Linked DNA regions of Cricetulus griseus. The protein of the gene in region 6 interacts with the protein of the main gene of each other region in a pairwise test. Links are inferred from orthologs where the notes say so. Each region holds a gene or a part of one and is shown on either strand. Other genes may lie near its edges.

Region 1 (3,500 bases), about 120 Mb from region 6:
TTTTAGTTTTTCCTCATCAGTGGAAAAAATGTAGTACGAGATATGTTAAATAAACATCTTTTCCAACTTACAAGAAAGCAATCTAGAACTAAGGAGAACAGAAGCCAAGACTTTATCAGATATATCTGTCCCTGTGAGAGTGCAGAGAGGAGCAGAGAGTGAGGGGCTACTTTCTATAGGATACAGAGGCACAAAGGTCAAAACTTCCTCAGATGAAGTCATGGCTACAGCAAAATTGAGAGAACTAGGAATTTTACATTTCTCCCAAAGCTGATTCTCAGGTAGTCACACCCAATTAAATATTTCAAAACATGTCCTTAGTCACTGCTATCATCGTCATCATCATCATCAGATACGTCATTTAAAGGAGACTTCAATGACTGGCTGTAAGAGTCTGATCTAGTCGGCTGACCCGAAGACATGTCCCCAGTGGAAAGCAGGTCATAGCAGAAGTCACATATCCGCACAGGCTTAGAAGACTGGTTGGGAAGAAGAAATCTCTTTTCAGAGCAGGGACCACAAACAACAAAGCCACATTTTCGGCAGTGGTGCCGCCGATTAACTGGCGTGAACTTTGCCTTCTGACAGCGCATACACACAGTGGCCTCAGAGTCAGGAACCCAGACAGCAGCATGCTCACTACTCGGTGTCTTCCCACTTTTGGAGAGTAAATCGGTGACACACTTATTTATGTGGTTCATCCACTCTGACTTCTCGGTGGCAGTGGCAGCATACACTGCAAACGATTTAGTTGGTGTCTTAATAAGCCATCCATTCCGTAATTCTCCTTCATCTTTAATGGAATCAATGGTGACATTTTCCAAGGGAATAATGTGTTGTTTGTTGTATTTTTTCTTCTGGATGACAATGTTGCCGTATACAAGAATATCATTAAACAGGAAAAACTGCCTTGCTTTAGGCTTCTTTCTGCACAGCTTAGTCAATACTCCCTCTCCGATAAGGACCCGTCCAGGGATGGTTAAGGGTTGACCAGCGGCTCCAAAACAGTTCTCCACTATACTTATTCGTCTAGTATTTGCTTCACTGTTTGCTAGGCGATCCACCATTTTTTGCTAATAACCTTTAGGGAAAAAAAGAAAAAGAAATTACACACAGAAATAATAAATTCCTACAAGAAAAAAAAATTTAATCTACTAAGACATTGCTTTTTCCAAAGGCAAATATTCCAATATTCTTTCCTTCTAAAACAAATCACTAAGCATACTACATCTTCATTGTTTACAGTAATCCAAACTTCTACCCCTCCACAAAACACAATCCTAGTCACACAACTATTACAAAGGCTGTAGAAACATGTGGCCTAGATCACAGTCCTCCTGCCTCTACTTCCCAAGCTCAGACTACAACTATGTGCCATCATGGTCAGCACAAGTAAAAACAACAGGAAAATTAACATGTTACTTCTGCAAAATAATAAACCCAGTTCCATGAAATTGAATCTCAATGGGATGCTGGAGAACAGAAGCCTACACACTTAAATAACATGGCCACTCTTTTCCCAATAAAATGCATGTGTCCCCTGAGCTGAGGCTCTAATTTCCTTTCCTGGATTATTCCCAACTGTTTCTCAACATGCTCTCCTGCTTCCAGATTTCCCTTCTAAACCAACACTTAGGCATTGCAAAATTGACCGGTTGTTACTTGAAACGATTCCCCTTAATCTTTAATACAATAAAGTTTAGCATATAGTGTGTAAGGCCCTTAATTACCTGGTAGGTTTTTTTTTTTTTTTAAAGATTTATTTTATTTATTTATTATGTCTTCTGCCTGCTGCCAGCAGAGGGCACCAGATCTCATTCAAGGTGGTTGTGAGCCACCATGTGGTTGCTGGGAATTGAACTCAGGACCTTCGGAAGAACAGTCAGTGCTCTTAACCGCTGAGCCATCTCTCCAGCCCAGGTTTTTGTTTTTAATTGTTTTGTTTTTGAGACAGGATATCACACTATGTACCTCAGGTTGGCCCTGCACTTGCCATCCCTCTACCCTAGACCCCTAAGCACTGGAATGACAGGCATGTGTCACCACATCCAGCTATTACCAGGTTTTTGTTCTCTCCAACCTCAACCTAAGTCATTCCCTGCCTAAAACACAGTATTTGAAGAAAACATTACAATGTATAAGTGCCTTTCACTGTTGTCTTCCTTACTATTCACAACTTCAGCTTTCTAAATCTTAGTTAGCATCTCTCTTCCCGTACATTTTCCTATGCTAGACAAAATCAGAAATACTAACAGCAGCAAAAATCCATCCTCTATGTTTGTCATATTCTATATAATTCTTAGCTTTCTTTTTACCAAAGGACTGAAATCCATGCCCTCCATTGGCTGCAGTGAAACCAGAATGGCCCTCTGATAGCCATCTTTAAACTGACATGATCTGAAGTACCAAATGTACAAGATAAACAAGAACATTTTTAACAACTTTAATGATCATAGATCTAATCTCTAGGTCCAATATTGAGCTCTCTCAAGTCCCTGAACGGTGTTCTATTTCAATCACTAACCTAGTACTACTACACTAACAAACACATTGAAGAATACCAAGGTTTGAAAGGGAACTATTTAAAGACAAACACAGCTGTCCTCAACTCACCAACTGACAATACTGTAACCCTTCTGACTATTCCTGAAACTCTGTTCCCTTTCACCAAGAGGAACACTGGCATGTCCTAGGGTACTCCCAACAGTGAAGGAGACAATGAATGGCTTCAAACCTTGAAGGTCTTAACTAAGTGACCAGTCCTCTACAGCTGTCCCTGTCTCTCTCCACTCCCTCTTTTGAGACTAGTACCACAACTCAGTGACACAGTGCTTCCCTAGCCCACACAAGGCATGGGCTCCACCTCCAGCTCCTTAAGGAAAACAAAAAGTCTACTAACTTATGAAGAATATGCCAAAGAAGGGTCAGTGAGTAAAGGTTCTTGCCACCAAACCGGGTGTCCTGAGTTCAAGCCCCAGGGTGCACAAGGTAGGAGGACTGACTACCACCCAAAGTCCTCTGATCTCTACAAGCACACCTTGATAAGCAAGGTATCTACAAGCATGTGTGCACCCCCACACTAAAAAGTAAATCACAGAATTAAAATGACATGAAAAGCCCAACCTCATTTATAATTAAAGCCATTAAAATACTAAGATACTTTTATCAGATTGACAAAAAGAAAAAAGAAAAGAAAAAGGAAATGCCTAAGATGTAGTATGTGTAACAGTGTAGGGCAACAGGTACCTTTGCACTTTATAGAAAACAAGTAAAACCATCAATGCAATATCCAACCAAAAGAAACTTTGAAACAGTGAGACAGCACAATGGGTAAAGACACTTGCCAATGAGCCTAACAAACTGACTTCCATCTCAGGGACCCAAAGGAGCTGACTTGTGACTTTCTTGCATAGATCTACCCACCCACACAAATAAAACAGATTTTGAAAAATAAATTTGACTCAGTGCATGAAAATACATACAGAATATTCAGCATAGTA
Region 2 (3,500 bases), on a different chromosome or scaffold from region 6:
CCTTTGTCTTTTTCTGCTTTTGACATGGGATCTCACTAACTTGGCCAGGCAGCCTTGAACCTGTGACCTTAAGGCCCATCCTTCAGAGTACCTGTACCACCAGGCCTGGCTTACATGCATTGTTCCTCAGAAACGCTTTCCCCCTTTACCTGTGGGTGTCTTTCTCCTTGTATTTCTTGACAAATCTGCAGGGCTTTCTCATACATCCTCTGTGCTTGCGATAGCTGCTTGGAGAAGAGCAGGTAGCGTGCACAAGAATCTAAGCACATGCCAAGGAGGAGGTAGGTATTGGCTTTCTCTTCCACTAAGAGAGAAATAAAAGCATGAGAATGAAACAGTTATTTACAAAGGTGAAAAAAAAAAAAAAAAAGCCAATCAACTTCTTCATTGTGGCCACCAGGTTCCACTGAATGTCTCCGGTCACTTAGGTAAACTCCTAACTACAGGAAACTGTTTGAATGAACCAATTAAATAACAAAAAAAAAAAAAAAAAAAAGACAAATTAGGCTGTCTGAAATCATGGAACACCCTACCCCCATTCTGAATAAAGAGTTCACAGATCAATTCAAATATTGAATATTTTAAAACTGGAAACTAGTAATCAAATGATTAAGTAGCTGGGGTTGGTGGAGCACACCTTTAATCCCAGCACTCAGGAGGCAGAAGCAGGTAGATCCCTGTTAGTCTGAGGCCAGCCTGGTCTACAGAGTGAGTTCCAGGACAGCCAGGGCTGTTACATAAGAAAACAATGCAGTAAGAAACCAAGAATACTTGGAATTCTGAAATGGTCTCAAGTCAAATTTAATCTCAAACCAAATTTAAAGGACATAAGCCAATTGCCCAAGAATAAGGGCTGGGCTGTGAACTGACTTCAAACTTCATACCTCTGATACCACACGAAGAGCATGAGGCTGCAGATCTAGAAAACAGGGCCTAGTATCAGCTTTACAAGACCTCAGAATAATGTAGGAGACATGATGAGTGAGAATAATTCCAAGCTCACAAAGAACTAGAAACAGGCTGCTTGATGGGTGTTTTTCCTATAGCCTAGATTGGCCTCAAACTTCTATAAATCCTATCTCAGCCTTCCAAGGATAAAGATACAGGCATGAGCAACCAGTCTTGGCTTATTAGCTAATTTTAGGCATGAAAACTATCAGACAGCACCTGAAGATGTTCACTTAAATTTACCAGCAGAGCTATCATTCCTTCTCCATCTTCTAAGGTTTTCAGGAAATTGACAAATGGCATACAAAATGTTAAAAATAGTATGTTACTAAGTAACACTATGATCAGTTACTGAAGAGATAGTTCAAATAAAACAATGCAGCTGTGGTGGATGAGCATAGTCATCTGAGTAATGAAATAGTGAGAGTTAAAAAAAATGAAGTTTAAAAAGCACAAATCTAAAATAATTTGCTTAATTATAAAAGGTCAATAATAGGCTGGGCAATGGTGGTGCACACCTTTAATCCCAACACTCATGAGGCAGAGACAGGTGGATCTCTATGGTTTGAGCCCAGCCTGGTCTACAGAGCGAATTCCAGGACAGCCTTTGAAGCTACAGAGGAACCCTGTCTCAAAAAAACAAACAAAAGTCAATAACAACTTTTGAGGGCAAGGCTAGATAGAGCTCTTTTGGTAGAAAGATTGCCTATTTTCCATGAAGCCCTGTGTTCATCCCCAGCATAGTACAGTCTGGGTTTGATAGCACACACCTATAATCCAAGCACTTGGAAGTGGAGGTCAGAGAATAAGGAGAGTCACCCTCAGCTACGTAGTGAGGTTAGCATGGAAGTCATGAAACCTTGTCTCATATACTGAAGTAGGGAGTGATTTGGAGAGATGGCCCAGTAGCTAAGAGTGTATGCTGGACAAGTATGAAGACTGGAGTTCTAATGCCAGAACCCAAGAGAAAAACTTGGGGCATGGCCATACATGCAACCCTCCCATTCCCACCCTCACCTCCCTTCCTTCCCTGAGACAGGCCTACAGCTTGCAAACCTCCTGAATGCTGGGATTACAGACATGTCCTACCATGCCCAGCTAAACTTTCTTTAAATGTTTCTGTGTTGTCTAAATAGTCTTTTTAGATCATACAACTATAAAATACATCAAAATAACTTTAAAAGACCAGACAGAGAACTGGGCACTTGCCTAGCATGTGCAAGGCTCTGAATCCTATACCAAACAAGCATATGATAAGCCATAAAAATAAAAGAACAAAGTGACAAGCAATTCTAGGGCAAAGTGATTACTGTTACACGTAAAGGAGAGGGGGCAGAAAGTACAACTAATGAGGTAAAATGCTTGGAATATTTTCTAAAAAATGTTTTAAAAATACATTTTACATTCATGACACATTCTGAGTTCCCAGCACCCACACTGGGCAGCTCACTCCAGCTCCAAGTGATCAATACCCTCTTCTAGAATCTGAGGGCACCTAAAAAATCACATGCACATAACTAGACACAGACATGTATGTGTGTGTGTGTACATACACAATTATACATCACACACATGTACACACATACACATGCATGCACACAATTAAAAATAAAGCAAATCAGAACTGGAGAGAGGGCACAGTGGTTAAGAGAGGGCACAGTGGTTGAGAGCACTGGCTGCTCTTGCAGAGGACCCAGGTTTGGTTCCTAGCCTCCATATGGTGGCTCACAACCAGCCATAACTCCAGTCCCAGGAATGTGGAGCTTTTTTTCTGGCCTCTCCAGACACCAGGCATACAAACAGTACACTTACTTAAATACAGGACAGTCATACATATAAAATTAAATAAATCTTTTTAAACGTGAATAAATTAGCCAGGCAGTGGTGGCACATGCCTTTAGTCCCAGCACTCGGGAGGCAAAGGCAGGCAGATCTCTGTGAGTCCGAGACCAGCCTCGTCTACTAGTTTCAGGACAGCTTCCAAAGTCACAGAGAAACTCTGTCTTGAAAAAAAAAGAAAGAAAAAAGAAAAAAAAGTGAACAAATTAAATAATAAAGCTTTAAAGATGTGAAGGAGGGGATGTGGGGTCCTGAAGTCTGCAATCATGGCTCAAGAAGAGGAAGATGGTAGAGATTACAATTTGATGGAGGAACAGAAGGCGATCAAGGACAAGTATCTTCCAGCCAATCAAAAGTATGAATATTTGGATCATACAGCTGATGTCCAGTTGTATGCATGGGGAGATACTCTGGAGGAAGCATTTGAACAGTGTGCCATGGCCATGTTTGGTCACATGATAGAAACTAAAACTGTGAAACCCCTCCAAACAGTAGAAGTAGAAACCCAGGGAGATGACTTACAGCCTCTACTGTTCCACTTTTTGGATGAGTGGCTTTACAAGTTCAGTGCTGATGAATACTTCATACCCTGGGAAGTGAAAGTACTTAATATTGATCAAAAAAATTTCAAGTTACGGTCAACTGGGTGAGAAGAATTTTCATTGTCCAAGCATCATCCTCAGGGAACAGAAGTCAAAACAATAACATACTCA
Region 3 (3,500 bases), on a different chromosome or scaffold from region 6:
TGTCATGGGAATGTGTGTATGTATGAAAAGTTTGTGGATGGTTGCTGTCTGGGCCAGTCAGTGATTGAATAGTTGTCTTTCTAGCACCTCACTGTTCTAGAGAAAACTACCCTTTGAGGTTGGGAAAAGACCCTTGTTTGGATGAATCAAGTGAGTAAGAGAAACAAGTTGAAGCTTCTTAGGCTTTTCCTGCAGCTGTGGGCCAGGCTGGCCTCACACTAATCAACACGACTCAGTGTCTGCCCCTGGCACAAATGTTTCCCTTTGTTTTACTTTGGTTTTGCTTCCTAATAGATTCTTGGTGGGATTCAGTTTCATATGCAGATACTGCTGAAAGGTCCTGGGGCTTCTTGCATTTATTTTAGGGTTTGCACCAGTTTTGCATTATCTCAGTTGGGTTTTAAGTAGAGCTTCAGAATTGGTAGTGGATGGAGGAAAACCAGATGGTGTGTGCTCCAAAGCACAGTGCTCCCAGGTTCTCTGAGTGCCCCGCTCCAAACTCTTGCCCTCTGCCATTTTTTCATATGTCTGAAAAATTCGCAGTGCTTCAAAAATGTGTTAAGGGAGTTGCTACCAGTGAAGCTGAGACTATAGCACATGCCTGCTTCCTGTCCCTGTCTCTGGCCTGTTAGTACTGTGCTATCCCTTGGGAAGTCCATTGGAGGTCAGCTGCAGGCTAGCTGGAGTTGGCTGCCTGGAGGTGATGGGTCTGGCTATTGGCCTGGGAGCCAGCACTCACTTCACTACTGTCAGACATTTCCACATTCCAGCGCCTGTTTGGAGAACCTGCAGATCAGGGCTCCGTTCCAGATGCAAAGTAGGCAGGAAGAGTGAAGGAACTGAAAGTTCATTATTAGGAGATAAGTGGAAACTTGCCTCTGTGTGCCATACCATGGTGGCCTGCATTGCTGCATTCCTTTTGTAGCCCAGGGCTCATGTCAGCCAGATTATTGCCTACAGCAGCAGAGATTCCTCCAAAAAGACTGAGTAGTTGGTCTTCTTGGGCAGCCAAAATGTGCCCTGGATACCCAACACAAACTCATCTTTGCTATCCTAAAGCTGGGATTTGACTTTAAGGTTTTTATCCACCACCAACTTAACATTAAAGCCAAACCCCAACTTGCATTATTCTCTTGAAGCACTGCCAGGACATGCCAGAGACCAGGATGTGGTTGGCTTAGGGAGTGTATCAGGCCTTCCTGTGCTCACTGCAGTACACCTGCACTACTCTTGCACAGTGCTGTGACAGGTACTCTAAACAAGGCGGAGCACGTGCAGCACATATTTCCATCCAACATTTGTAGTAGATACCTGTTGGGTGCTTGAGTCAGTCACAGAAAGTGTTCTAGTGTTGCTGGGACCTTCCTCAGTCTTGTTTGTAAGGATAGATGCCAGATGTCATCTTCCTTGCCCTGACAGCTATCCTGGGCTATAGTGTTTCAAAGAAGTTCTTGGGGTAAACAGCCCATGCCCACCCAGCTGGCTCTTCCTGTATCAGTCCTCCTCATGGCTGTCCTTTCCCTGGAGTAGCATTTCCCTTGAAACCATACTTGGGTTGTTGTGGTCTCATACAGCTCTGGCTGACCTCCAACTCACTTAAGTAGTTAAGGCTGGCTTTGAACTCCTGATCTCCTGCTTCTCCCTATCAAGTGCTAGGATTATTAGCCATCATGCTGATAATGCTAAAAGGTATTTGTTTTGGTAACTGCCTGGGAGGTGCCTTGGAGCTTTCCCTCTGGTGCTGGAGGCAGGTTCAGGAAGGGCCCACACAGCAGAACATTTGCATGTCTGCTCCTGTTGCTGGAGAAGAACTGGTCACTAGGATGATAAGTCTTGAGTGTGGACCAGAACCATACAGGGACAGGCCCAAGAAGCATGGCCAGAACCGGGCAATTCAGGTATGGCCAGGCATTCCCAGGCAAGTGCCCTCCCTGTGATCATGGTGATGGCACCCTTGACATGAATGTTGATCTTCAAGTTTCTTCTTCACAGAAGCCAGCCAAGATGAGAGCTCACCAGTTCTTCCACACAGTTGAAATGGACTTGGACGGATCCCATAGCCAGGGTCTAGGCCCCACAGCTTTCTCACTGGGAGACAGTTTGCAAACCAGGCCTGGTAGCTCTTGTCTTTGAAAGCTGTAACTTCCTAAGTTTTGTCCAGATGAGAATCTTGCTTCCATTCATTGAATGATTGGTCAAGTTACACCTTTGTCTTAATATTGCAAATTCAGATTTTCTTACAGTCCACCACCTCAGATTTAACCCGCTTCATGTTTCATACAGAAAATGGTTTTATTGGCAATGTTGGCAGGATAGCACTATTGGGGTGCTGAGCAGGGAGGGTGCTGCTTTCTGCACAGGCAGAGCTTTCTGGGAAACAGGTTCCATGATTGCAGAAGTATCCTTAAAAGCAGCTACAGTTACCTTAGACTCATTATGGAGGAATCTTGTTAAAATGTAACATGATTGGGAAATTGTGGTTATGTTACAACTGCTGACTTGGGGTTTCCAAAGGCAGCCTGGCTTCTGAGTTCCCAGGAGATAGCAAACCAGGCAGCCACAGTGTGCCAGCACCTCCCCTTTTTCCTACCTCTTCCCCACAAGGTGGGATCTGTGGCTTGACATGTCACTGCCAAGCCTATAGCCCCCATTCTGATCTCTTCCAGTCGTGGGGCCTGTGCCAGAATCCCATTCCTGTCAGCGGTGACTCAGTGGCCCAGGCTAATCCCTCCCAGCTTTGGCCTCTGGGAGGAGACACACTTGATCTGCCTGCTGGAAATGAGATGATCCAGGTTTGTAAGTGTTTCTTGTCGGGAGATGTGGGTGGCCTGACCAGTGTTTTCCAGGGACCATGAGAAGAAGAGTCAGGTTAGAGCTCTGGACAGCAGGCAGGACCTGATTGCCACACAGGTATCTGGCCTTTTGAGAACCTACAGCAAGTTAGACGATGCCACACATTGTGAGTCCAGGCTTACTTATAGAAGCTGCCACATAACTGCTATTGTCCATGCTGGTTTACCCACAGAGGCCTGAGGATAAGAGCTTGCTTTGGTAGCCAGAAACACCAGACACCATAGGAGTTTAGTAGAGCATTCTAGGGGTTTAGTAGAGCTGATGAGGTGTCTGTGAACAGATGTGTGCCTTATATGTACGTGCATGCATGTGCACATGTATGACCACATGTGTCTGAAGACATACTTGAAACCATTAATGGCATATAAAAGCATATAGTTTGATGACTGGCCAGAAAGACAGATCCATCTGATGAACTCAGAGCCCTCCACCCCACAGAACTTTTTATTCATGGGGGCAGGATCATACTGCTGTTGCAGCAGTTCTGGTATTTGTGTCCTTTCCTTCTGAAGCTGGCTGCTTCTGCTGTTCAAGGAGCACACGGAGCACCCTTTGCCTCTAGCTGGGTTACCCTGGTGGATGACCCAGGGCAGGTCAGGGGAGACAGCCAGGCACAAGTGGGCCATAGGTATAATCCTGTCTGTTTG
Region 4 (4,098 bases), on a different chromosome or scaffold from region 6:
GTCTGTGTTAGTCACGTGCAGGCAAGTAACTAGAGCAGGCCGTTATTTCTGGTTGTCTGAGGAACTGGAGGTGTGGAGGGAAGCAAATAGACTTTAATTGGGGGGGGGGGGCTGGGAGAGAGTGGTGGCCGTAGCTCTGGAGCTCTGGGGCAAGAAAGTACCTCACTACCCACCGAGAAGGAACTGAGCCTCACTCCCACGGCCCGGTGCTTCCTGCCCAAGCCGGCCAGGTACTCCTCCAGTGAAGACAGGTCCTCCACGTTGGTCACTGCAGCATCAATTACCAGCATCACCTGTCAAGGACACAGAGAGTCCAGCACAAACCTACCTGCTTACCACCACAGCCTAGGACCTAGGCTACTCAACCAAGGAGGCTTTTAGAATGCTGTTGTCCAGAATCAAATGTGGTAGGCAGCCAATGTCTGTATACAGTAGGCGCTCAGTATGTGGTGGCTCGGACTACCGAAATTCCACCCATGAAGCCCTTCTCTTTTGAGGATCTCAGAACCTGTGACATACCTGTAGAACAATACTGCCTGCATGGGACAAGAATAGACTGAGGTGTTGTGGAGATCATGAGCCCAGCCTAGTTTTCATAGGCAGGTAGTTCCCAGTGGTCAAGATCCACCCATACAAGCCACGGGAGCCAGAGGACAAGACTGAGAGCTATGTACCAGGCTGGGTCCAGCTGGCTTGAGGACAGGGTTGGGTCCAATCCAGCGAGGCGGGAATGGTGTGTGTGTGTGTGTGTGTGTGTGTGTGCGTGCGTGCGTGCGTGCGTGCGTGCGTGCGTGCGTGCGTGCGTGCGTGCGTGCGTGCGTGTGTGTGTGTGTGTGTGTGTGTGTGTGTAAGCTGCTTCCTATATCAAGTCCTTTCTTCCCAACCAAGACAATGTTCTACAGATCTGAGCCCTCATAGCTCTGCCTCCCTCACCTTCCTAATGTGGTCCAGGAATTCTGGGGAGGAGAGACAGTCCTCAGGGCTGGAGAACTGGCGGCCATTGTACTGGAAGAGAGGCAGCAGGCTGGGTTCCAGGGTGAAGAGCCTGTGGGTTGGGAGCAGCGGTCATCAGCACTGAGCATCGACCCAGCAGAACCTGACTGCTCAGAAGAAAGCCACGGTACATTCCTAACTGGGCCCTGCCAGCTTAGTCAACGTCCCCTCCAGAGGACACTTGTCCCCAGCCTCTCTCATTACCTGGCAGATGGTAGCTCCTCCCTAAACAACTGAGGGGCTGGGTTTGGGACAGGCAGGAATCTCAAACCAAAATCTAGGGGGAAATTTCCCTTTTGGATCAAAATTCCCCAATGCCCTCAGATCTGAGGCTTGTATGGGTGATGCCATGTACACACTCTATGTACTACTGAGCTTTAAGCATTTGTCAGTTAACTGTGGTTGTGTGTCCCTCATACTTTTAAGCAGTGGGTTCAGAAGAGAAAACAGAAGCTCAGAGAGTCTAAGCAAGCTGCCTAAGTTACACAGTAAAGCCACAGTGGGCACCAGAGTGTGTGTGGTGGTGGTGGTGGAGGGGAGTTGGGGGCAAGATGGGAGGGGGAGTTTGAAAAAAAATACAGTTGGCCCAACCAGAAAATGTCAGCCTCACTGGGAAGAGCTTGCATTTTTGTGTAACTCTTTTGTGTAAATTAATTTATTCCCCTTCCATCTTGGAGAGGTTTTGCCAAAAAGTCTTGCTCCGAAGTTTTGGACTGGCCTAGGGATCTGCGATGAGAGGGGGAGTGCGGCTCTTTGGTGATGGCTTAAAACCAGCCGTTCTCCTCCTGTTAGGCCTGTTCCTTCTCCCTCTCTTACTGGTGGTGAGACTGGACGCCTATCGCCCCTCTCCTGGAGCACCTCTGGTCCTAAGCCTGTGTTGTCCTCAGAAGGGTTCATCTTGCTGGTGGCTGGGTGTGAGCTCTCCTGGGACAGGACGATGTGGCCTCCTACTCGAAGGTGGATGGGTGGGCACGGGAGTCCATCCCACGGATCTAGGTGCCTGCACACCCCAGCTGGCCTTCGGGGGCTCATCTCCTCCTACTGGCCCGGCCCCTGTGGGCAGTCCTGCAGTCACTCCCCATTAAGATATCACAGAGTAGAGCAGGGAGCACTGCATCTACCCGCCTGCTCTGTGGGTGCGGGTGAGGAACCCCACCGGCCCCCAATCAGTTCGGGTGGGAGCCGCTATCTGGGAAGAGCAGATGGGACAGCACCACCTGTCGCTACACACACACCCCTCTCTCCCGGGAGCACCACTGCAAGCGGGCCCGTTTCTCTTCCTCTGGCGACAAGCCCAGCAATCTCAAGCCCACTGCTGCCAGGCACCCCTCCACTCGTGCCCGGTAGCACTCACCTGGAGAACAGGACAGTGCCATGTTCCAGAGGGCTGCGGCTCACCGCCTGCCAGCTCTGCCGGATCAGCTCGGGCTCTGGGAGCTCCATGATCTCTCCGGAGAGATGCGGGAAACCGGGATGGGACCCTCGGGGCTTGGGCGCAATCACCTCACGTGCAGCGCCATCTCCGTGCTGGCGACGCGGGGTGGTGGTGGGGGAGTTCCAGGCCCAGTGCCTTGGTCGGGAGGGGGCCAACAATCGCTCCTTCGCTGGTCCAGCCGAAAGGATGCGCACCCACTGCCGCTTCCGGGGACCCCGCTCGGGCAGCTGCGCCCTGTGCCCCGAAGCTCCCAGAGAACCGCCCTTTAAAGCTACGGTGGTTCCCACCCCCTAGGCTTAGCGCTCCCTCTGTACCCGCCTTAGGCAGGGACGACCCGAGGCCTGGGAATTGTCCAGGCTTCAGAGCCTAAGAGAAATTGTTCAGCCTCTGGGCTTGTTTCACTCTTGAAAGCTAGCAATGCTACTACTTTGCTGGCCTAGTGGCATGTGCATGCAACCTTAGTGTTGAGAGACAGACTGGAGCAGGAAGACAGAGAGGGTGAAACCAGCCTGGGCTACATAGATTGCCTCACTCCCCTTCAATAATAAATAATCCTGTTTCTGAGGGAAGAGGCCGGAGGCCCAGTGTTCAAGGTGAGTTCCACCTCCCCACTGGAAATCTCTTGGGCTTGCCTTCTCCTGGGCTCATGGTCTGTGCTCACAATCCCCGAGTTCAGCTAGCTGGACCCAGGTCACCAAATTGGTCTGTCTGTCTGTCCTCTGCTCAAGCCCTGGGTCTGACTGGGGCACCTGAACAACTTTGGGCCTACAAAGGCTCTCAGTTTAAGGAACAGAGCCAAGTCATAACTATCTCAAGCCAAGAATGGAATCCCTCTCGGGAATAACTGGAAATGCACGGAGTTAAAGTCATAGTCTGTCATTCCACGATCTACTGAAACTCATGACAAAAAACCCAAAACACATGAACAAACCCCCAAACCCTCCAAAACCAAGGGCTTGGAAGATGGTTCAGGGGGCATCTTTGGGTTTGAACCCCAGCACTCAGATTAAAAACAAAATGAAAATGATGGTTCATAGCTTTAATCCCAGCAGTGGGGAGGCAGAATCATGTGGATCTCTGTGACTTGGAGGCCAGTCTGGTCTACATAATGAGTTTTAGGGCAGTCAGGGCTATGTAGAGAGACACTGTCTCAAAGGAAAGAAAAAAAAAGAGGGAGGTAGGAGGGAGAGGCCAGGTGACTGTAATACTAGCACTGAGAAGGTGGAAAACCAGAGTTTCTGGAGCTAGCTAGCCAGTTCAGTGAGCTCCAGGTTCAGTAAGAGACTATCTCAAACAATTAGTTGGGGTGCCTGAGAAAGACACATAAATCAATACTCTTTTCTAAAAGTGGCTAAGCTAAGTCCTGTGCTTGCCATCAGAGTGCTGCTGGCCACCTGTCAGTTAGCAATGTTGTTCTCTTTCAAGCATGGAAGTTCTTTGACCCCAGCCCAGTTTCACTGGTTCAGGTATTGGAGAGCACCCTCCCTTTATCTTTTACTGTTGACTCTAACTGCATCCTCAGATGTGCTGTAAGGGTTTGGGCAGCAAGGTCTTCAGAGTTTTTTGTTGCATGGATATAAATCAGTGTCCTTGGTCTTGGGTTATCAACAGACTGTAGCCCCATGGGCAATCCTGTGCTAGTTGTGCTCAGTCCCATGCCTTCTAAAAGG
Region 5 (3,964 bases), about 200 Mb from region 6:
TATATATATATATATATTCATTCCTTGGATAAGATAGGAGCGCAAGAGGGCCAACTCCTAGCTGAGAAGCAACTGGCAGTTGACAGCTTGACAGCTGCTCATCTGGCTGGGGATTGGAGGCTAGTTTTCTTCAGATGTGACTCCTGGTAGGTTGCCCATGCTCCAGTGGTTGGCCCTATACCCATGCACAGATTGGCAGCACCATGTGGACTCAGTGAGTTAAAAAAAAGGAGTACATAAACTTGGAATGGAGACGTGGCAGTGTATGATAGGAGTTGAAGGGGAGAGAGTAGGGGGTGTATTTGATTAAAGCACATTGTATATAAGTATGAAATTGTTAAATAAGTAAAAATGTATTTTTAAATGTACATGCTTTGTTTCACCTTGAATTAACTGAACAACTGGAGTTGGACTTACTACAAACCACATGCCCTAGTTTAATTTCTGTCATAAAACACCCTGACTAAAAGCAACTCAGTGGAGAAAGAGAGTATTTTAACTCAAAATTCCAGATGCCATCCATTTCTGGGAAGTCATGGCAAGAACTTGAAGCAGCCACATCCTTAGTCAAGAGCAGAGAGAGAATGCATGCAAGCATGTTTGCTCATGCTCAGTCCTCTCTCCACACTTCTACAGTCCAGGCCCCAAACCCAGAATGGGTGGGTCTTTTCATTTCAATTAATACAACCTAAGCAATTCCCACAGATATGCCCACAAGCTAAGTAATCTAAGTGATCCTTCATCAAGATGACCTTCCGAGAATATGCTACCTTGGGTGAATCGGTTAAAAAAATTAGCTATTGCACCACAGTGTCTCCTTAGGAAGATCAAACAGTGTCAGGAAAACTTCAACCAGTTGCTCATTCCACCAGGGTTCTCCAGGAAAAGGATTTTCCCCATAAATCAAAGGTCCCTTCTGTTAGGTTTGCAGTTTAGGAAGGTGGCGCTTAGAAGCAGAGAGAAAATATGACCTAAATAGATTTAAATTATCCTTTGACAATGGGCTGGACAAACAAAAGCACTTAGCAGAATGTGAAAGAATATAGGGCTAAGCTATATAACTAACCCTAAATGGCAAAGCAACTGTCGCTTAACTGCGCAATGTCTTAACAAAGCAGTTCTCAGCAAAGATGTTGTCAACATCATTCATTAATCTCTGGATCTTCTCCTGTTCTTCCAAGACCCCAACTGATTTTCATCTCAACTTCATAGCCTTCACAAGACTTCAAAGAATTTCACAAACAATTTAGGTCTTTACAAAAATACCCACTCAGGAACACCACGTGTGACCACTTCATTATAATCTGCCAACCTCACAAAACTGCCCTCTGCTCGCCTATTCTCGGGCTTCACACGTGTATTCTGATTGTCCTGGTAGAAAGTAAGCCCCAGGAAAGCTCAGGTTTTGTTCTTTCCTAGAAGTCTGCTGCCTGGAACAGTGCCTCATGTGTGCTAAGAGTTCTCAGTAAGTGTTTTCTCGTTGTACAAATGGGTATAAGATATACCAAGAACAGGGGTCAGTCGTTGAGAAATGACGCGTCTCTCCCTCCTACTTTTAACCCAAGTCTTCACTTGAGGTTAAAATGTAAAATAAACCTCGGCATAACATTTCTAGACTGCTTACCCAACAACATTTATCCAACAACAACAAAAAGCTAATGTTTCACTTTTAATTCTCAACTTGCTACCAAGTATTTTTAACAAGAGCTGTTAAGAGGACAGGTAAGCAAAGCCCATGTGACTCTTATTAACTAATAAGAAAGCAAAGCAAAGTTTAATACTTAACTAGAAAGTACAGTGCGAAATTTCCAAAGCTGCCTGTTTTGTGTGTATTTGTTTTGGCTTTTTTGTTTTGTTGCTACTGTTGTTACTGTTTTCTAAACCCCAATTGCAATCCCTTCACCAAAGACAGCAAACCTCAAGAACACATGCCTAAGCAATCCTGACCTCTTGGGCCCCAAATTCCATCACAAAGGATCGTTTGTTGCGACCCTGACCCCAGAAACCTTTCTCAAACATTTTACACACCAATCAACCTGCAGAGACCGGGGTGGGGGTGGGGGTGGGGGTGCAACCTACTGCATTCCAGCATTTCACACACTCAGCAAAGGAACCCCCCACCTCCTGGCTCTAGGCATGCCCCCCAGTCAACTCCACCATCAAAGTCTGGTACAGGGAGGTATAATAGGGAAGGCAGGGACCTCTCAGCAAGGCCAAAATTGGAGGACATCTTAGACTTCAGACCCTGGATCTGCCAATTCTCTGTGACCTTGGGCGTGTCGCTGGAGCCTTGGGGTTTGCGTTCTCTCACCTTTAAGGTGAAAACCACACCCGGACCGTGCCACATTAAGGAATGACTGAGGTCACAGGTGACGCTCCACGCAGGGCATCTGGCACGAGTGGGAGACTCACTCCCAATCCACGGCGCGGTGTCTCTCCCATCCTCCCCATGCTTCAGGGCCCTTCAGACTGGGCCAGTCGCCCAGTTCTGCAGACAAGCGCTCTGAGGGATAAAGAAGGGACTGGGGACTCGCAGGGACCGCCGAGGCATAGCTCATAACGCGGGCTCCCCCGACCCACGCCCGGGGCTGCTGCGCGAGATGCTGGGGGCTCCCCGGCTCGCCCGCGGGCTCTCCACCTGCCGCCCGGCCCCCCGCCGGCATCGCTGCACTCACTCTTCACTTTGCCGAAGGTGCCGACGCCCAGGGTGTCCCCCAGCACGTAATGCCCGATCTTCACCCTCCCGTCGTGCTTCTGCTTCTCAGCCATGTTCGGCGCACGGCCTCCCTCGGCCGCGGGCCCTCAGCGCCGCCGCCACCGCCGCCGCCGCCGCCTACCCACAGTGCAGCGGGCCCAGGGGGCGGGACGGGGACGCCGGGGGCGCCGGGCGCGGTGGGGCTGGCGAAGCCGGTGGGACGCAGAGCCCAGGCGCCCTGAGGAAAGCCCCAAGGAGTGCAGATGGGAGGGACGAATCTGAGCGCGACAGAGACGGAAGGAGAATCTGCAAAGAAGTGGGGGAGAGGGGGTGTGGACAGTGAGACTTCCCTCGGGGCAGGTGGGGTGGACGCTGGGGTGGGCGGCTCTCCTCTACCCCCCGGGATGCTCCTCCGGTCAAGGCTCGATTGTCTGGGGACGTTCTAGTCTGTACCCTCTCATAACTCACGCTTGTTTTGCAGTTCCTAGTCGTGTTATTGTTGGATCTCAAACCAAGGACAAATGGCTAACTGGGGCGCCTGTTAAATGATCAGAGGTGATGCTGGCCGCCAGGTTGTCCCAGCATCCCTCCATCTCCACCCTACAGTCCTCCTGGCTGGCCTACCCCGCCCCCTACCTTGAACTCTGCAGCCCTGGCTGCCACTTCCCCCAGCTCCTCTGGCCCCCATCTACCTCAGCCATTTTGGCTACATTGGTCCAGGCTCTTCTCTTGCTCTCCCTCCCCCCCCCTTTCTCCTCACGTGGTCCTGCTCAGTATGGCCCTGTTCACTCTGGACCCTCCCAGATGTCTCTGCCTTGCTTCTGCCGTTTTGTCCGCTTTTATTTACAATAAATCTTTCCCACTCTCTTAGGTTTTCTATTGCTGTAGGGGGGGAAATGACCAAAATGCAAGTTAGGGAGCAAAGGGTTTGTTCGCTTTACACTTCCACAACATTGTTCATCATCAAAGTCAGGGCAGGAACCTGAAGGCAGGAGCTGATGCAGAGGCCATGAAGGAGTGCTGCTTACTAGCTTGATTCCCATGGCTTGCTGAGCCTGGTTTTTTTTTTTTTTTTTGGGGGGGGGGGGGGTTTCGAGACAGGGTTTCTCTGTGTAGCTTTGGAGCCTATCCTGGCACTCGCTCTGGAGACCAGGCTGGCCTCGAACTCACAGAGATCAGCCTGCCTCTGCCTCCCGAGTGCTGGGATTAAAGGCATGCGCCTCTAATGCCCGGGGGAGCCTGCTTTTTTATAGAAACCAGGACCACCTG
Region 6 (3,980 bases):
AACTTTCCGGAGAAATGCTCTCTACTCGAGTCAGTGTTTTTCTAAAAACTTGCGCAAAAATCCACGCGACCGAGGTAGCCAGTACAGAGCTTCCTGGGCTCCCCACACCAATAAAGACATCACAACCAACCATCTACGAAAATCGAAATGAAAATTCAGCACACACATACTTACACACACACACACACACGCTTTTATTTCTCGGATCAGTTTCCCTTAACTTAGAACAATTTTTTAAAATGTATTTTTGTTCCTGGGCACTTGGGGTGATCTCAAATGCATGTTTCTGGCAGTGGCCCCGAGGTGGCAAAGGAGCGGCCGCCGGGCAGAGCAGAAAGGGGTGGGGGGGGGGGGGAGAAGGCCGTGCAAACGGCGCCCGAGGAAGTTGCATAAGGAAAGAGACTCCGTTTTTCGGGTCCCCCCCCCTAAAAAAAAAAGAAGAAAAATCAGCGGGGAAAGAGGAGGAAAAGGAAGCTGGGCGGTGGCTGCAGGAGGACAGAGAAGGGAAACCAAAGCGACGTTTACCTTCGTGTCCCCGTGGAAGGGTGGGGCAAGAGCCCTGACCCACGCGACCCGGCAGTGCGGCTGGATCTCCCACCCCGGCTATCACGGAGCACGGACGGACAGACAGAAACCTCTGCCTCGCGCGGGCCGGGCGCGGAGCTAGCCGCCCGACCGGTCAACTTTCTCTCACGGTCGCGCGGTGGGCCGCGATCGCGGGGTTCGGATCCCAGACCCCCCCCCTTTTTTTTGTTGTTGTCTTTTTTGGTTTGTTCGGTTTTTTTTTTTTTTTCCACCCTCAGGAACCGATTAAAGTTTTCCCTCCGCCAGCGCGCCCCTCGGCCCGGCGCTCTCTCTCTCTCAAGTTTGCCTCCTCCTCCGGTCGGCGGCTGGCGGGGCGCGCGGCGGATGCCTCCGCTCCTGCGCTTCCCGATCCCCACCCCCGCCGGCCTCTACTTCCCCCCGCCCCGCCGCGCCGCCGCCGCCGCGCGAGGCCGGCCCCGCCGGGCCCAGGACGCGAGCCGGGACCAGCCAGCAGCCCATGAGCGCAGAACGGCGGGGCGCACGCACGCGGCGCGCGAGGCGGACCCGGCTCGCCGGCCTCGGCCACCGCGGGCGGCGTAAACAAGTTGCAGGCGCCGCGGCCCCCGCCGCAGCCGCCGCCTCGCCTCGCTCGCCTCGCACGCCCGCACCGGCGGCGCTGCACCGAGAAGAACGCCGCCGCGACGGCGCGGGTGCCGGGCCCGGCCCGCGCCCTCCTCCCGCGGGGACGCCGGTGTCGGGCCCGCGCCGCCGGCCGCGCTCTCCTTGAAAAGCACTTTCCAGCCTCCGGCAGGAAAAAGAAAAAAAAAAATCAAGCGGAGGCTTTATTTCTTTTTTTTTTTTTTTTCCGTGCAACTTTCCCAAAATGGCGGAAATTGGAGGCGATCTCTAGGAAATTCTCCCACAGTCGTCGGCGGCGGCGGCGAGCGGGGGAGGTGGCGAGCGGGAGAGCACACGCAAACTCTCGGCCGCTGGCCCTGCCGCGGCTCGGGTGTGCGTGCGTGTGCGGGTGCGTGTGCGCGGTGCGAGTCGCGGAGGCCTCTCGGCGCGCGCTCACACTCACACACACACACACACACTCACACACACACACATCCCGACACACAGACACACACCCCGACACACAGACACACGTACACAGACACACACGGCCGCGCCGGCGAGACGCGCCGATGCCACATTCAACCAGTCCGTTCTCTCTCCGCAGCCGAGCCGGGAAAGCAAAGTGGCGCGGCCTCTTTTCCCACTGCCTCGGTCTCCCGTACTTGGACTTCTCGCGCTCGCTCGCTCGCTCGCTCGCTCTCCCGGTGCGCGCCCGGCACAAAGGCCACACGGGCGGAGGGGGCCGCAGGGGCGGCGCGCCGGGGCTCGCGTCCTCCCGCCGCCGCCGCACCGAGTCGCCACTGCGATCGTGCCCACGGTTCCCCTCCCGAAGCCGGAGCCCCCCCCCTGCCTCGGGGCCCGACCGCTCTCGGCGCCTCCCGGGGAGGCTGCGGCTCCTCCGCGTTCCCCCCCCCACCCCCCCCCCAGCGCCGCCCCGGACACGCAGCCCCGCGGCGCCGCGCTCCCCCCACCGCCGCCCGCGCGCCCGGTGTCAAAAAAGCGACCAAAGTGACAAGCTCGGAGCGGGGGGGGGGGCGCGGGGGAGGGGGCCCACACGCATCCCGCCGCCTGCGCGCCGGCGACGGCCAGACGCGGCCGCCTCGGCCCGCTCCCTTCCGCACGGCCCCCCACACCCTTCCCCGTGTGCGCGCAAAAGGAGGAAAAAATACAAGTCTCTCCTCCCCCCATTTTTTCCTTTCTCTTTTCTCTCTCTTTTGTTCCTCTTTCGCACTCGCACTCACTACTTCAGAGTGAGATGCCCACAGACTCCCCCTCCAGCCGCTTCCGACTCACTTGCCCACTTTTTTTCCCCGGGATTAAGTTTTCTCCTCTTTCCCAGAGGCGCAGAGAAGTGGGGGAGAAACCCCTTCTCTCCTTCCCCTCCCCTGATCTCTTTCCCAAGACGAGGGTGCGCTTCCTTCCCTCTCTAGCTCTCTGAACTTTCATCCTCACCCAGAAAAAAATCAATGAATGGCTCTGGCACGGGCCGAGCTGCGGATTAATTAGAGATTAGATCCGATCAGCCGCTTCTTACCCCCAAATTTTCTCTTTTTTTTTTCTCCGTCTCACGAGTAGTCCTGACAAATGGTCCAGGGCTGCGGGCGCAGTGCGCATGTGCGCGTAGAGTCAGGGCTGGGGAGAGGGGAAACTGCGCTGGTGCCGGTGCTGCCGCCGCCGCGCCGCCGCCGCCGCCGCCGGGGAGGCTCGCGCTGGCTTCCCTGTTACTGCTGCTGCGCCTTCGCCGCTGGAAAGCAGCGATTGAGCGGCTCGGCCCAGGCAGCCGCCCGCAGACACTGGTTCAGGTGCATCTCTTCGCGATCCTCGTCGCTGCTGCTTCCGAGCTGGGTCAAAGAACGGCCCGAACAAATGGGGAAAGACTGAGAAGGTTATAGATTTCTTTGTCTGCTTTTGCACTTTACTTTTTTTCTAAGGCAATTCTCAGAGCAGCGAATCCACCATGTGCTGGTTAAATGTGTGCATTCAGCCATTAAAGAGTGGGCCCTGGGCTCACACCGTTGCTACCCAGGGGCTGAATACATGCCACAGGTCAAGAAAATTAAGAAATAAAGTTCTAAGCGTGCACGGAGTTTAATTTGCCCTTTTCGAGACTGGAAGAATGCATAATAAAAGTCCGAAACTTGCGCGTTCGTTCCGCATCCTAAATGCTATCTGTATTGACAGCTCCACTGGGTTAGGCCTCTGTTCTAAGGGACGCTGGGAGTTCTGCCTCAACTTAGAAATCCCTGGTAAAGTGCCTAGGTAATAAGACGGGACCGCCCGCCTAATGTACTCAGTCAAGATGGCTGAGCTCTCCTAAATAGCAAACCCTGCCTTTGTCAGCGCGTCAAATCTGGATCAAGCTAGTATTGTATTTCGATATTGACAGTTTTCTGCACACTGGCTTTGGGGGAGTTGGCGGTCCCCCTTTCCTACAAGGTTTAGGGGTAGACAAAATAATTCGAAGTCTTTAAAGTTGCGATAAATATGTTGACACCAACAGTAGAGTTGGCTATGAAGGGAAAGAGGGGAAAAAAGAAGCGATTTCTGAGATGGTGAGGCAAGCCTAGCACTTCGCTGAGGGAAGAGGAAAAGCAGTGGGGAAGTAAAGGAAGGCTCCTCCCCCAGCATGTACTGTTTGCTTTGCATCTAATGAAGGGTACAGGGGCCTTTCTCTGCTATTGTTGCCTGAGGCCTAGAATTTAAATATATCACAGAAGGAAATTCCATATTAAAAACCCTTCCCCTAAAATGTAAGTAAGATTATTCTTGATTGAATTTTTTTTTCACTAAAGGAATGTTCCTTGAAGTCGTTTCAGAAAATAAAACTCTTAAAT
Region 7 (4,293 bases), on a different chromosome or scaffold from region 6:
GATGACACGCCTTTTACTGATGATCGACCGAACTTTACAAACGTTTCCCTGGGGAAAATGTCAAAAACCCGGGAGGAGATCGCTGGGTTTAGCGGCCCCACGTTCCCCTCTCACAGCCCACCCTAGCTGCGGTGCACACTCAGAACTCAGGTCCCAGCCGGCCTTCCTCTGTCACCTGCGCCCACGCACATACTCTCCCACCGTCTTCTTCCGGTTCCTCAAAACCCCTGGGCTGGTTCCACTCCCCCCTCCTTCGCCGTTTCAATGTCAGCTCCTCAGAGAGGTCTTCTTGGCCCCAAAGCACCAGTTCTCTACCTCGCCCATTTCGTTGGTTGGTTGGTTGTTGTAAAGACAAGAGTTTTACCTAACTGGGTCTCCAGCCTTCGGCCCCTTAGTCTCTACCAAATCCCTGCCGTCATTCACCACCCCACCCGCAGCCTGTCAGCATTTATTAAGTAGCCACACTTGAAGAACATTTCCTGCGGAGCAGTGGTGGCTCACACCTTTAATCCCAGCAGGCGGAGGCGGAGGCAGGTGGATCTCTGTGAGTTCCAGACCATCCTGGTCTACAGGAGCTAGTTCCAGCCTTTTTGGCCTGAAATTTGTTTAAACATTTACAAAATGCGCCGCTGTGAACATTTCAGATTGGCAGAATTCACATAAAATTTGAGACTTTTAAAAAGTTCCCTCTATGCCCTCACCCAACCAGTACTGGGATTTGAACTCAAGGCCTCACATCCTAGATAAGTGCAGCGTCAATGAGCTGTATCGCCAGCTCTGATTTTTAGCCTAAGACTTGGGGGCCTGGTGGCACCTGCCTGTGATCTCAGGAAGCTGAGGCAGGGGGATTTGGGGATACGGGTCTACTTCTCCACAGCTCACCGTCCCGGTCACATGGGGGGCTCATGCTCTTCCATTCACCACCGACCACCACTCTATGGCTTTACTCCAGGCCTCCCCTACCCATGGATATATCCCAGTTGGATTTCTGACTGGTGATGTACCCAAACTCTCCACCGTGTGGAAAAAAGACAGTGTCTGAAGTCCCACAGGCTAGGTTCTAACTGTTACTAGAGTTTTAGGACCAAAGCCTGGCTCTGAGTTCCCACCAGTCCCCATTCATCAGTGAGAAACATGAGTGCAAGGAAGAGGGGGTATTGGGGAGAACGGGTTGTTAAATCTCAAATCCCAGGCCTGGAGAGATGGCTCAGAGGTTAAGAGCAGACTGGCTGCTCTTCCAGAGGTCCTGAGTTCAATTCCCAGTAACCACATGGGGGCTCACAACCATCTATAGTGAGATCTGGCACCCTCTTCTGGGGTGCAGACTGAATACTGTACACATAATAAATAAATTAATTAAAAAAATCCAAAAGCCTCAAATAAATGAATCTTAAAAAAAAAAAAAAAACTCAAATTCCAGATGAGGGGTTACCCCGGGGTGCCTATTTACCATTTCAAAGCAGACGCTGGCTGCCAGGTTCTCCAGCATTTCTTAGGTTCTGTTACAGAGTCATCCTGGCTTGCATACCCCACCTATAACTCTCCAGCCCAAGGACTGGGGCTGGGCTTCCTACTGTCTCTAGGCAACTGCTCTTTGTTCTGCTTTCCTGGCATTTTGGCTTCTGACTCTCCGATCTCCCTTGGCCCCTCTTCCCACACGGCTCATTTCAGCCTGCCGGCCGTTTCCCATTTCACTCTGGACTTTTCCAGACGCCTCTGCCTATGCCTCTCCTCATATTTACAATATCTACATCCCTGCAATAAACTCCTCCTCCACCACAGCGAGCAGAGTCATGTCCTCATTTCATTTTTTTTTTTTCATTCACAGATAAAAGGGTTCTGTGACGTCCCAAGTCTATCTTTGGAGCACTGATACAACTTTAGGTTTAAATAGCTGAAGAATTTGGGCGCGGGGTTGGGGGGTGGTGTGAGGACATCAGAGACCACTGTCTGAAGGTGGCTGTCGTGGGGGTTGATCGGATGGGAGGCTTTGCTATTCTCAGAACCCACGAGTTTGGGCCAGTGACTACAGAACTTCCGGTACGTTTGGGGGCTTTGGAACAGGATATTGTAAAAGTTGAAAGTAAGATGCTTCCTTTGTGAATGGCATGAAAGCGGTTAGATCACTCTTGTTTTTAGATAGGCATGCCTTTCGCGGGTGATGAGCCTACATGTGGGGTTAGCAGGCAGACACGCGGGGCTCTCTGCTCCCTTTCATCTCCCCTGTGGGCACAAGTGACGAGTCTGCTTTTCAACAGAGGCAGTGGTTCCAGTCCCACCGAGAAACTCAGGTAGGGTACTGAAAATGCCATTCCAAGTACACGCACCGCTTATGAGGAGAGGTCTTTAGTCTGCAAGGTCGTGTTTCATGGCTGCCTCAATCCCCTGGTCTCCCCTCTCCCCTCCTTCGAAAGGGTGGACTTTTCAGGGAGACACGGAGGTGGCTAGGATGAGGGTGGGTCCCTGGAAGGCAGAGCAGTCTTGTTTATGATGGCATCTTGGCATCCCACACAGCGGCACACTCTGGCACAGAGTGGCTGCCTAAAGAAGGGGAGTCTAAAAGACCAGAGTAAGGAATTACCTGTGATTCTGGAGCCAGGAAACGCCTCCAGCTTTGTTCCACCGGTGATTCAGGGCCCACTAAGAACTCAGTCTCAACTGTCTCCTTCTAGCCCCAGGATCTCATCCAGCAGAGTGGAAGGGTGGGGAATCCCCTGAAGCAGCATAAAGGAACCATCCAGCTACCCACCCCTTCCCATCGAGGCCTGACTGTGGGTGGGGAGACTGAATGAAGGCTCCCACCCTCCTCCAAGGAAGAGGACAAACTTGTGACTCAGGGGAGGGCAGAAGTTGAGTCAGCCAAGCCATAAGCTGTGGAAAAAATGAAGTTTCCTGGAGGCCTTTTCTGCCTCTTTGGCTAAAAATCCTTTCTGGGAAAAGCTGGTTTCCAGACTGCAGGAACCAGGGAGTGAGCAAAGTCTCAGGCTCAGCAGGCCCAAGCTAGTTTCTTTTCTTCTTTTTTCAAAACCCGTGTGAAAAAAATGCCTGGAATTTTCATTGCCTTGTTTATTGAGTTCTGTCTACACACTAAGCATAGTGTACCTAACTCTTCATTATCTTGTCTCTTCTCACTCCGAGGCTGCAATTTCCTGTGACTGGCTCAAGAAGCAGAGGGCTGGGTAAAGGACCTGGCCTGGGTTCCATCCCAGAAAAACAAACAAACAAAAAAAACCAAAAACAAAAAAACCCCACTAACATACTAACATACTTAAGGGTAGAAACAACAGATAATCTTAATCCTTGAAGACCTGGAGAAGGGTCTTGGCCGTGTAATGCTTTTCTGCAAAGCCCTGGGTTCCATCTCAGAACCACACAAAAGACATTTAATATCTGGTAAATCTGAGTCAGGGGTTTGCAGACTTTCTGCAAAAAGGGTTCAAACAGTAAGTATTTGGGGCTTAGCAAAGGGGTGTCTGGGACCACCCCTGCAGAGTGAAAGCAGCCTCGGGAAACATGGAAACAAGCGGTGATATGCACACTGATATTGAATTTCCTATAACTTTCTTAAAATGTTATAAAACATTCTTCCTTCTTTTGTATTTGCATTCTAACCCCTTAAAAATGTACGTGCTGGGGACTGGAGAAGTGGCTTAGAGGTTAAGAGCATTTGCTGCTTTCACAGAGGATCCTGGTTTGGATGGCTCACAGCAGCCTGTAACTTCAGTTAAACACTTTTACACATGAAATTATACATAAATCTTTAAGGTGGGTGTTGTAGTGCATGACTTTAATATCAGCACTCAGAAGGCAGAGGCAGGCAGATCTTTGTGAGTTCGAGGCCAGCTACAGAGTGAGTTCCAGGGCAGAGTTACACAGAGAAACCTTGACTTAAAAAACAAAACAAAACATAACAAACAAAAATGGGCAAACCACTCTCAGTTTGTGGCTTATACAGAAACAGGCCTTCTCTGCTTGTATTTTTACAACTCTGGGTCAGTATAAAAAGTTCAAAACATATGTTGGGAAAACAAATTTTTTAAAGTGAGTATTGTGGCTCATATGTATGATCTCAACACTTGGAAGACCGAGGCAGGAGGTTAGTAAATTCTAGATCAGCCTAGGATACATTGTAAAACTGTCTGAAACAAACAAACAAACCAAGGACTAGGGGCTTATGACACATATGTACCAAGCCTGACTCTCCACCTCCACCACCTTTGTTTGGAGACAGGATCTCATTAGGTAGCTCTGGCTGGCCTTGACCTCATAGAGATCCACCTGCCTCTGGGATGC

What was found.
Region 1: the proteins of L3mbtl3 (region 6) and pleckstrin homology domain-containing family F member 2 interact in binary tests that used the Homo sapiens proteins (3 or more experiments, as listed by UniProt). The two-hybrid records come from large-scale screens. The link is inferred for Cricetulus griseus from reciprocal best matches to the Homo sapiens genes L3MBTL3 and PLEKHF2.
Region 2: the proteins of L3mbtl3 (region 6) and Ttc19 interact in binary tests that used the Homo sapiens proteins (3 or more experiments, as listed by UniProt). The two-hybrid records come from large-scale screens. The link is inferred for Cricetulus griseus from reciprocal best matches to the Homo sapiens genes L3MBTL3 and TTC19.
Region 3: the proteins of L3mbtl3 (region 6) and Banp interact in binary tests that used the Homo sapiens proteins (3 or more experiments, as listed by UniProt). The two-hybrid records come from large-scale screens. The link is inferred for Cricetulus griseus from reciprocal best matches to the Homo sapiens genes L3MBTL3 and BANP.
Region 4: the proteins of L3mbtl3 (region 6) and Ngb interact in binary tests that used the Homo sapiens proteins (3 or more experiments, as listed by UniProt). The two-hybrid records come from large-scale screens. The link is inferred for Cricetulus griseus from reciprocal best matches to the Homo sapiens genes L3MBTL3 and NGB.
Region 5: the proteins of L3mbtl3 (region 6) and Prkaa2 interact in binary tests that used the Homo sapiens proteins (3 or more experiments, as listed by UniProt). The two-hybrid records come from large-scale screens. The link is inferred for Cricetulus griseus from reciprocal best matches to the Homo sapiens genes L3MBTL3 and PRKAA2.
Region 7: the proteins of L3mbtl3 (region 6) and pleckstrin homology domain-containing family F member 1 interact in binary tests that used the Homo sapiens proteins (3 or more experiments, as listed by UniProt). The two-hybrid records come from large-scale screens. The link is inferred for Cricetulus griseus from reciprocal best matches to the Homo sapiens genes L3MBTL3 and PLEKHF1.

Annotation. Positions count from the first base shown.
Region 1 is NC_048595.1:125,116,670-125,120,169, forward strand, and holds part of pleckstrin homology domain-containing family F member 2, read right to left. Parts: intron 1,082-3,500; 5' UTR 1,068-1,081; coding exon 318-1,067; 3' UTR 1-317. UniProt on the Homo sapiens protein: May play a role in early endosome fusion upstream of RAB5, hence regulating receptor trafficking and fluid-phase transport. Enhances cellular sensitivity to TNF-induced apoptosis.
Region 2 is NC_048600.1:76,325,106-76,328,605, reverse strand, and holds part of Ttc19 (tetratricopeptide repeat protein 19, mitochondrial), read right to left. Parts: intron 3,460-3,500; exon of another isoform or gene 3,438-3,459; coding exon of another isoform or gene 3,054-3,437; exon of another isoform or gene 3,018-3,053; intron 305-3,017; coding exon 150-304; intron 1-149. Other genes in the region: protein archease-like, read left to right, coding at 3,054-3,437. UniProt on the Homo sapiens protein: Required for the preservation of the structural and functional integrity of mitochondrial respiratory complex III by allowing the physiological turnover of the Rieske protein UQCRFS1.
Region 3 is NC_048596.1:198,654,727-198,658,226, forward strand, and holds part of Banp (protein BANP), read left to right. Parts: intron 1-2,666; coding exon 2,667-2,792; intron 2,793-3,500. UniProt on the Homo sapiens protein: Controls V(D)J recombination during T-cell development by repressing T-cell receptor (TCR) beta enhancer function. Binds to scaffold/matrix attachment region beta (S/MARbeta), an ATC-rich DNA sequence located upstream of the TCR beta enhancer.
Region 4 is NC_048598.1:116,694,512-116,698,609, reverse strand, and holds the start of Ngb (neuroglobin), read right to left. Parts: upstream 2,801-4,098; 5' UTR 2,437-2,800; coding exon 2,348-2,436; intron 1,046-2,347; coding exon 934-1,045; intron 294-933; coding exon 162-293; intron 1-161. UniProt on the Homo sapiens protein: Monomeric globin with a bis-histidyl six-coordinate heme-iron atom through which it can bind dioxygen, carbon monoxide and nitric oxide.
Region 5 is NC_048595.1:44,756,433-44,760,396, reverse strand, and holds the start of Prkaa2 (5'-AMP-activated protein kinase catalytic subunit alpha-2), read right to left. Parts: upstream 2,801-3,964; 5' UTR 2,770-2,800; coding exon 2,676-2,769; intron 1-2,675. UniProt on the Homo sapiens protein: Catalytic subunit of AMP-activated protein kinase (AMPK), an energy sensor protein kinase that plays a key role in regulating cellular energy metabolism.
Region 6 is NC_048595.1:245,423,326-245,427,305, forward strand, and holds the start of L3mbtl3 (lethal(3)malignant brain tumor-like protein 3), read right to left. Parts: upstream 2,801-3,980; 5' UTR 2,681-2,800; intron 1,969-2,680; exon of another isoform or gene 1,809-1,968; intron 717-1,808; exon of another isoform or gene 526-716; intron 1-525. UniProt on the Homo sapiens protein: Is a negative regulator of Notch target genes expression, required for RBPJ-mediated transcriptional repression. It recruits KDM1A to Notch-responsive elements and promotes KDM1A-mediated H3K4me demethylation.
Region 7 is NC_048602.1:117,578-121,870, reverse strand, and holds the start of pleckstrin homology domain-containing family F member 1, read right to left. Parts: upstream 2,801-4,293; 5' UTR 2,582-2,800; intron 2,464-2,581; 5' UTR 2,328-2,463; intron 1-2,327. UniProt on the Homo sapiens protein: May induce apoptosis through the lysosomal-mitochondrial pathway. Translocates to the lysosome initiating the permeabilization of lysosomal membrane (LMP) and resulting in the release of CTSD and CTSL to the cytoplasm.